Linked DNA regions of Tribolium castaneum. The protein of the gene in region 1 purifies or fractionates together with the protein of each later gene. This does not show direct contact. Links are inferred from orthologs where the notes say so. Each region holds a gene or a part of one and is shown on either strand. Other genes may lie near its edges. The genes, in order: PHD finger protein 14 and Hmg-2.

What was found.
Region 2: the proteins of PHD finger protein 14 (region 1) and Hmg-2 purify together in Homo sapiens (affinity purification with mass spectrometry; 3 studies listed by BioGRID and IntAct, counting the BioPlex papers as one, with this or other methods). This does not show direct contact. The link is inferred for Tribolium castaneum from reciprocal best matches to the Homo sapiens genes PHF14 and HMG20A.

The regions. Positions count from the first base shown.
Region 1 is NC_087400.1:6,362,836-6,367,200, forward strand, and holds the start of PHD finger protein 14, read left to right. Parts: upstream 1-1,334; 5' UTR 1,335-1,576; coding exon 1,577-1,631; intron 1,632-1,693; exon of another isoform or gene 1,694-1,815; coding exon of another isoform or gene 1,816-1,825; intron 1,826-1,970; coding exon 1,971-2,132; intron 2,133-2,185; coding exon 2,186-2,316; intron 2,317-2,504; coding exon 2,505-2,983; intron 2,984-4,365. UniProt on the Homo sapiens protein: Histone-binding protein. Binds preferentially to unmodified histone H3 but can also bind to a lesser extent to histone H3 trimethylated at 'Lys-9' (H3K9me3) as well as to histone H3 monomethylated at 'Lys-27' (H3K27ac) and trimethylated at 'Lys-27' (H3K27me3).
Region 2 is NC_087396.1:21,976,399-21,980,366, reverse strand, and holds Hmg-2 (high mobility group protein 20A), read right to left. Parts: upstream 2,566-3,968; 5' UTR 2,333-2,565; coding exon 2,143-2,332; intron 2,092-2,142; coding exon 1,829-2,091; intron 1,297-1,828; coding exon 838-1,296; 3' UTR 612-837; downstream 1-611. UniProt on the Homo sapiens protein: Plays a role in neuronal differentiation as chromatin-associated protein. Acts as inhibitor of HMG20B. Overcomes the repressive effects of the neuronal silencer REST and induces the activation of neuronal-specific genes.

The DNA.
Region 1 (4,365 bases):
CTAGCAATACCGGCATTGAGCAATGAGTAATATTACTGGTTGCATAAGTGCGCAAATGATGTAATTAAAGATTTGTTTTTATGCTGTACGAAACAATCTTTGGCCCCTTTTGACGTAATTATTAATTAATAAATGTCCTGATAACGAAAAAATGTATTTTTCTTAAAATTAGTTTATTATTAAACATTGATTTTTCCTTTTTTTTAATTATGATACGATTCCGCTGAATGTTTAAAAAAAATTCAGTGTATTTTAAGTGTCCTAATATTAAAAAAAACACAACTAACTTATGTTTTCTTAAATGAAACAGTCTATATCTTATTGCATTTTTGGACGTTGCTTTTAATACCGATGATTTTGATCAAAACTTGCTTAAAAAATTATTACAGAAAACTTGGAATCCTAGAAAAGTATAAATTTCATTTTAAAGGAAAAAGTTCAAACTGAAATTTCTAGCAGTTATTTATCGTAATGCAATTAAGAACTTAGAAAATTTAAAAAGTTTGATAAAAGTTGATTAACTTGAAAAAGTTAAATGGAATACACAATTTCTTGTTTTTGCCTTTCAAAGATTATTAAATATTAAACATTATATAAAGTTCTAAACGTCTAATGAGAATAACTAAAAAGGTATTTTACTTTAAAAGTAAATTTTACCGTAATTTAACCATTAGTCAACCATAAAAGTCACAAAAAATTTATTAAATTTTATACTCCACATAAATATTAAAATTTTAGTTATTTCACTGTAAGGAATGACGAATAACAGCCTAGAGATAACATTAAAGTTATTATTAGCTAAAAATTTCACTTGTTGACAGTTGAAACAATAGTTAATCACTTTTTTATGGTTTAAAATTAAATATTTTTTTAAGTAGGTAATCAGAAAAATACACTTAACTGTTAATGTTTTTAGGAAGACAATTTAAAGGTCTTTTAGATGCAAAAATAAAAAGTATGGTGTGCCCAAAAGTGTTCCATTTAAAAAATTTCAGATATTCAACTTAATTACGGAAGTTGAAATTACATTTTTTATCTTTTTGAACTCAAGAATGATCTTTATATAAATATTAATTCTTACTTCTTCATTTTTTATCTTCTAGATTGCAGTAAGTTAAAAAATATATATCCTTTAAGTTCGAACTTTTTTTTTAATTTTCACAGCTATACTGTAAAAACATATCTGATAATAAACAAGTTATGAGGCTTTTTCGGAAAATTGGAACAGCCTGTATAATAAGTTATGCAACGCCTCGAACAATAATGCAGTAAACAGTTGCATAATTCGACCACGTGCCCTTACAATTTTTTTCCAAGTTTAGCGTCATTTTTGAAAAAGCGTGCTAGTCTTATTGTAATTAATCTCTTTGACAAAAACAATTATCATTTTTAATGAACCTAAAAAAATTCTTTGGGCAAAAATTCCCCGAAATTTTCCTTTCAAGTTCGAAGGCCGCCCTGGCAGAACCCCATTATCCTTCCATTTCCCCCCAAAATTCCCCCACCGGAGTCGAAATCGCCACCCGAATTTAAGAAGTACAGCGCCTCAGCTCCCACGAGGGACCTCTTCACCATCATGCCCAACCTCCTGGAGCGTGCCGAAGACATCGATTTCGTCACGAAAACGGCCAGTAAGTCGCCCTCCACCCCCTCATTTAGTAAAATTCACTATAAACTTTCCCGGTCACTTTTCGAAAATCGATAAAGCTCGACGCTCGGAAGCCGGTCGGGTGACGCGCAAAAGTGTGGTTATGGTTGCTTGTCAGTGATAAAAAACGCTTAAATTTATCAACAATCGGGGATTTGGGCCCCGAGATGAGTTCCCGTAGGTGCCAAAGCGGGGCCAGATTGCTCAACGGTGACTTGCACGACCGGAAGTGCTTTTTCGGGGTTGGCAATTTGGCAACGTTTTGATGTTTTTCGTTTTGAAACTAATCAATAATTTTTGCTAATGATGGAATTTTTAACAGTTGAGAGAGACCCGAATAAGAGGAGGGTTAAGCCGGTTGAGACCCAAGCCTCGATTCTGGACTTTGATCTCGAAGAGGAGAGCTCGGATGATTCGGATTTCCGGATTGAAGACCACCCGGAAGTGAGCGATGATGATGACTCCGGGAACAGTGCTTCTGGAGGTAACTCATCACCAATTCCTGACAGCTACAATCATTTTCGGGGGATTTTACAGGTAATGACAGCAGTGGAGAGGAGGAATCAGAAGGATCAGACTTAGACGAATTGAAAAATTTGAATTTGCCCAATGGGGACGGGCTATCCATTGCGGATGTCATCCAACAAGCCAATTTGCAGCTAAGTTCGGTAATTTTAATTTTATTAACTAAAATTAATCACAACGGCCACGGCCGTTAAGTTAGTATTTGTTGCCATAGAAACGGTTACTTAAGTCAAGTTAGACAGTTGACATTTTTCAACGATTACTTAAGTCAAGTTTGACACAAATATAACTATAACTGTCAAAAATAAATTTTGGCCCCCTTTTCCCGCAGTTCAATGAAAAAGACGCCCAAATTTTGATCTGCTGCGGCTGTCTCGGGGACCAAAGCGACGGCGTCAACGAAATCGTCGAATGCGACTCTTGTGGGGTCACTGTCCACGAGGCCTGTTACGGCGTCGCGGACTCCGCCAGTTTGAGCAGCACCGACTCTCTGTCCCCGACAGCCCCCTGGTTTTGCGAGGCGTGCAAAGCCGGCGTGATGAACCCTGTTTGCGAGCTGTGCCCCAATTCGGGGGGCATTTTCAAGGAGACGGACGTCGGGAAGTGGATTCATCTCGTTTGCGCTCTCTATGTTCCTGGAGTGGCATTCGGCGAAGTTGATAAATTGACAAGTGTGACTCTTTTCGAAATGCCTTACAGCAAATGGGGGGCGAAAAGTTGCAGCTTGTGTCAGGATGAGCGCTTTGCCAGGACGGGGGTGTGCATCGGGTGCGATGCCGGCATGTGCAAGACCTACTTCCATGTCACATGGTAAGGTTTTTGCCCCACACTGTATGCTATTCCAATTTTTTTTATTGGTTGGCAACATTGAAAAGCGATATCGTACAGTGTCGCCAACTCTTCACAGTATTTTTTTTTTTATTTATTTGTTTATTAAATGTATTTTTCTTTTTTTTTTCTTCCTTTTTGATTTATTTTAAAATTAATTCACTATTCGTTCTTCAGTATTACATTTGTTTATATTGACTTGACCTGACCTGACATATGTCAAATTGATAATATGTTGGCAAATCTTAAAATTAGTTACTGTTGAAAGCTGGAAAAATTTTAAATGATTTGAAGAAGAAAACTAATAATCTATGCATGTGAATTTTTTTCAGAATTTTTCCACAATTTATTGTAACAAATATATTAATAGATATTATCAGCAGAAACAGTCTTTCTTGTGTCATTTGAGAACAAGTGATATTTAAGTGTTTTTTTGGATAAAAAATCCATATTTTTCGGTTAGGTGTAAATAACATAAAGTTTTATTTTTTTAAATTGGAATCATAGGCGACTGTGATATTTGTGTAATACATTGTTTTTAAATATTAAAAAAAATTTCGCTTTTTTATAGTAGGCTATGAAAAAATTTTTAAATTCTCAGTTAAAACTCTGGAAAATGTATTACCCAACAAGTATTTATAATTTAATGATAAATTATTCTTAGATCAAATTTTTGCGATTAACAAAAATTATTTGTTTTTAAATTTAAAATGGCTAGCTTACATTGTCATTCTAATTTCTTATTAAACATGAAATTTCGGAAAAAGAAAAATTTTATTAATTGTACGATTGCCTGTAAATAAAATTTTATTTTACAAAAAATGTCAATTCAAACGCCAAAATCAAATCCCATCTGCGTTAAAAAAATACATAACATTATCAACGTCACCTCCATAGCACTTCACTAAATCACAAAATAATGTCATCAAATAATAGTGACATCGTTTTCAATTTTTTGCACATTTTTTATGTAATTGAAATCTGCGACCATCGTATATTTATTTAATTTAAAATAACTTTAACATAGCTTATTTTCACATCCGTTCATAAAATATCTAGATTATTCACACCTTTTGTGTGAAATAATTTTTTCATGGCCAACTACATTCAAATATTTGATATATATTTTTATTAAAAGTATATAAAAACATCAAACTGTATTTATATTGTTTTGAGTTCAGAAAAAAATAAGCTTTTCGAAAATGTCATAGCCAACTCTGATTTCTATTAAAAAAATACAACTTTAGGCTATTATAGCTAATCGAATGAATTAGAAAAAAAAAGCTGATAACATTATTAAATTTTCTTTAAAAAATGTTTTTGTTTCAAATGTGTATCTTTTATAATAAGGAAGATATGAATTT
Region 2 (3,968 bases), on another chromosome or scaffold:
TAACTCGACTTTAATTATTGTTTTCTACACGCAATCAATTAATTTGACACAAAAACATGTAGTGCTGCTTCTGATATAAATCATCAAACGTGTCCATAAATGCACTTTGGGTTAATTAAACGGAGCCGCGTAAACATTTTTTACACGAATTTTTCTTCGTTTTGACCCGAAAAATTATTTTTGGAGCACAAAAAATTGATTCATAATGTCGGAGGTAACAATTTAACAAAATATAAAACACAATTTCGTAAATATCTTGCGGCATTTATTGAATATTCGTGCAGTTAAACAAAACAGAATAAAATTTAAGGAGTGTGCTTAAAAAAATGCGTAAAATATTATTTTCAGCTCAGTAGAGATCAAAAGTTGTTTTTTTATAATTCATCAATTTCCCTTGGATGTAAATGAGAAAAATGTATAATTAGAACTGAAGAAAAAAAATATTAAAAGTCAGCAATCTAAGAATCAATAATTTTTTGCTCTATTTTTTGTTGTGGAGATTAAATGTTTAAAATTTTTACTACCTGTTAAAACATAATTAAAGTAGAACAATTTCCAAAGGAATTAGCTACAATATTTTTTTTGGTGATGGGAGTAAAAATAAAACCAGATTTCATAAATATCTTGCGAAATTTATTGACGGAATATTAAATACATTAAATTAATTGAACTACTAAATACTTAGTAGTAATTACACAATACCTAACGTATGAATCACAGGACCATCATAACTAATCAAATCATAAAACCCACTCTGAAAGTGAAATAAAACTGCTATATAAAAAATTACGTGATCTTCTTAACTTTTCGTTTTCTCTTGGAAGCGCGACTTGTTTGTCATCCGTTGAACTCAAGCCGCCCGACAATATTCCTAACAGTATGTAAAAGGTTCGCGTCATGACTACTGTTCTCCAATAAAATCGAATGCAGATTTGTCATGTACGAGTCGATATTTTGCTGCGTTGCGACTTCTTTGACCCCTGGGAGCTTCACACCGGAAAAACCATTGGTTAACGTGCCCCTTAAATGATCCAAATGTTTTTGCAAAGACGCGTTATTTTTCTCCTGCTGCGAGATTTCAGACTCGAGCTTGGCAATGGCGTCCTTCATATTCTCGATATGTTTTTGCAAAATTGCGTTTTGTTGCTCATAATCTGTGTTCGATTTACGCAACTGGCGCAGTTCCGAGTCTCGCATTTTGTTGTGATCGAGAAACTCCTCCGTGAAGATGGGGATGTCGAAATTACCGAAATCCATATCGGGGATTTCCTTGTTGATGACCGGCTGAACGGAGCTCTGAAAATAGAAATTTCGGGGGCTTCCTTCCGACAATTACCGGGTGCGGGCACAAACAGAAAGCGCATCACCAAAACCGTACAATACAATTTTGTAGTTTTTTGTAATCTTCAAGATATATGGTTTAATTTTTTTCTAATAAAAAATTATGGACGTTTTTAGTGTATTCAATCAACTAGAAATACTTATTTTTGCTAGGGCCAAAAGACTTGGAACACCCTGTTAAATCTCTGTGATTACATATCACTTTTTTTCTACTTCTACAGATTTTTCATTACGTTCAAAATTTGTGACCAATCGAAGTGCATTATGACAACCACGTGACAACTTGTAACCAATGGCAATGTGCCACGATGCAATTATTACGAGTGACAGTAGTCTGACATTAAAAATAAAACTGACATTTTTAAAAACTGTATTTTTTTTAAATAGTGTATGCAGTTGTAATTGCATGGTTATTAAGACACGAGCCGCATGTACGGTTTTGGCCCGCCACGTCTTTGCTGCAACACGCGCCCCCTTAGCAACTCACCTTGCTCTCCTCCTTGCTCTCCTTCATTTTTTTCTCATTCTGTTGCTGCGTGAATAATTTATAAGCTTCCGTCTGCTTATAGGCATTGTATTCCCGCGTGTACCGCTCCCTGTCTTGCTCTGCAGCATCCAAATACTGTTGTTTTTTATCCGCCGGCAAATTCGTCCATTCATTTGCCAGCATTTTCGTGATTTCGGCGAACGACAAGGTGGGGTTGGCGCTCCGCACGGTCTCCCGTCTGTCATTCAAGTACCGCACATACCCTACAACCCCCGTAAGACACCTCTGGACGCCCCTCGAACTGAAACACTCACCGGTCAGCGGGTGCCGTGGGGCCGTGCTGTCTTTCGGTTTCTTCCGTTTCTTGGCTTTGGCCACTTTGGGCTTCTGCTGCGTCGTGTTGTCGGAGCTGTCGGGGGCCTTCTCGTCGTTGGACGTGGAGGCTTTGGGGGGCTTCTTACCATTTTCCGGCGGGACATTAGCCACTTCCTCGCTGTTTTCCATTTTACGTCCGGTTGGGAAGATGCTAACCAACGTGACAGTTGTTTGTAACTGTCAATGTTTCATTTGTTTTGGGGGGCCACGAGCGCTCCAAAGGGCCAAACGCGCCGAACCGCCCCATTTAATTCAATTAAAAGTCGGGCCAATTGGGCGAAATTAACAATAAAACGCGCGTTACTTTGCCATTTTGCAGGTTCCTGTACCGGGTTTGTGGCTCGATTGGTAGGTGGCGGGTGCGGGTAACGTCAGAATTGACTGGCATTGTCGCCAACTTCGAAACTCCCTAAATTTTGGGTTTGGAAACCAAACGATAGGTTCCAAAAAGTTGTGTTATTGAGGCATTGTGTTACGAAAGTAAAATTCCGGGTGCTTGTAAGTAGGAAAAAGCGCGTTTTTTGTGGCGTTTGTCGGTCACAAGGCGTTTTTTTGTCGTGTTTGAAAATCGCGTTTTTTGTAGAAATTCGTCTCCTTTGTGCAGTTTTTGTTTTTTTTTGTGTGATGGTATGAAGCACGGGTGCCCCCATGGATTATAGAGTGTTGGTTGTGGTCGGGTAAGTGTGCAAGGCCTTGGCGTTAAGTTAGGTTATCTTCCTGCTCGAGTTTTGGCAGCTGCTGTGAAGGCTATTTATTTTGGATTAATTTATGAATGTGTAAATGAATGACATGTGTATTGATCTGTATATTTAAGTCTGACGCTAATTTCGGCACCCCCGTGCCATTTAAAAATACACCGATGCGCTAATGAATGTCTTGAACACCGACCACTCGGGGGTTTATGTAAAGTAGAGGCAACTTTGGCGGATTATTTATCTCTGTGATAAAGGGGCGCAGGTATGCAGATTCGGGAAAAGTGAGCGATTTCGGCTTTCTACCTGGACTTGCACCATAGCCATCCATCCGGAATTACACCTAAAGGTATAAATAACACTTTTAGGGGCTATTTTCGGAAAACGGCAGCTTTTGGCGGCAAATATTTCGCCTTCGAAAACACCAACGCAAACATATTGCATAAAGGGATTAGTCAGCGAGAGGTTTCTCAATTTTACATTAAAATCACTCGCGAAGATTATCAACAGGTGTAACAATTGTTTACAAAAACGCTCATCTAAACCCACATTTCACGCTAGTTTCAATAGAGAATCAATTGTGCGTGGGAGCAAAAAACTCCAAAAACATCATTAATTAACTTCATATTTTGTTTCGTTCTTCAGTTTCTTTTTTTCAAATTTTGTGTTTATTTGTTCAGTTGTCCGTGTTAAATTTGAAGTAGGTTTATCAGATGAATAAGTGGAACACCTGTACTGTTTTTTTCCTTAAAATTTAATAAAAAAGTGGCCAATTTTTCATTTATTTTCACCAGACTACCTGTTTTGATTTCAATCTTTCCAATAGTATTTCTAAAAAGCATTTTCTTTTAAACAGATACTATTGTTGGGCTCTTTTTATCTTGTTTTCCATAAAATGTTGGGAAATAATTTCGTTCTTGGCTGAAAAACGTACCAAAACGCTCGAAAAAGAAAATTTTATTTTACAATAAAGTCCAATTTCGTGATCTTTTACAAAAAAGCTGAGCAATAAATTTAAAAATGTGGGTAACAATGTTCAAATAATACAATTTTCGACAAATTTAGCTGGTTTT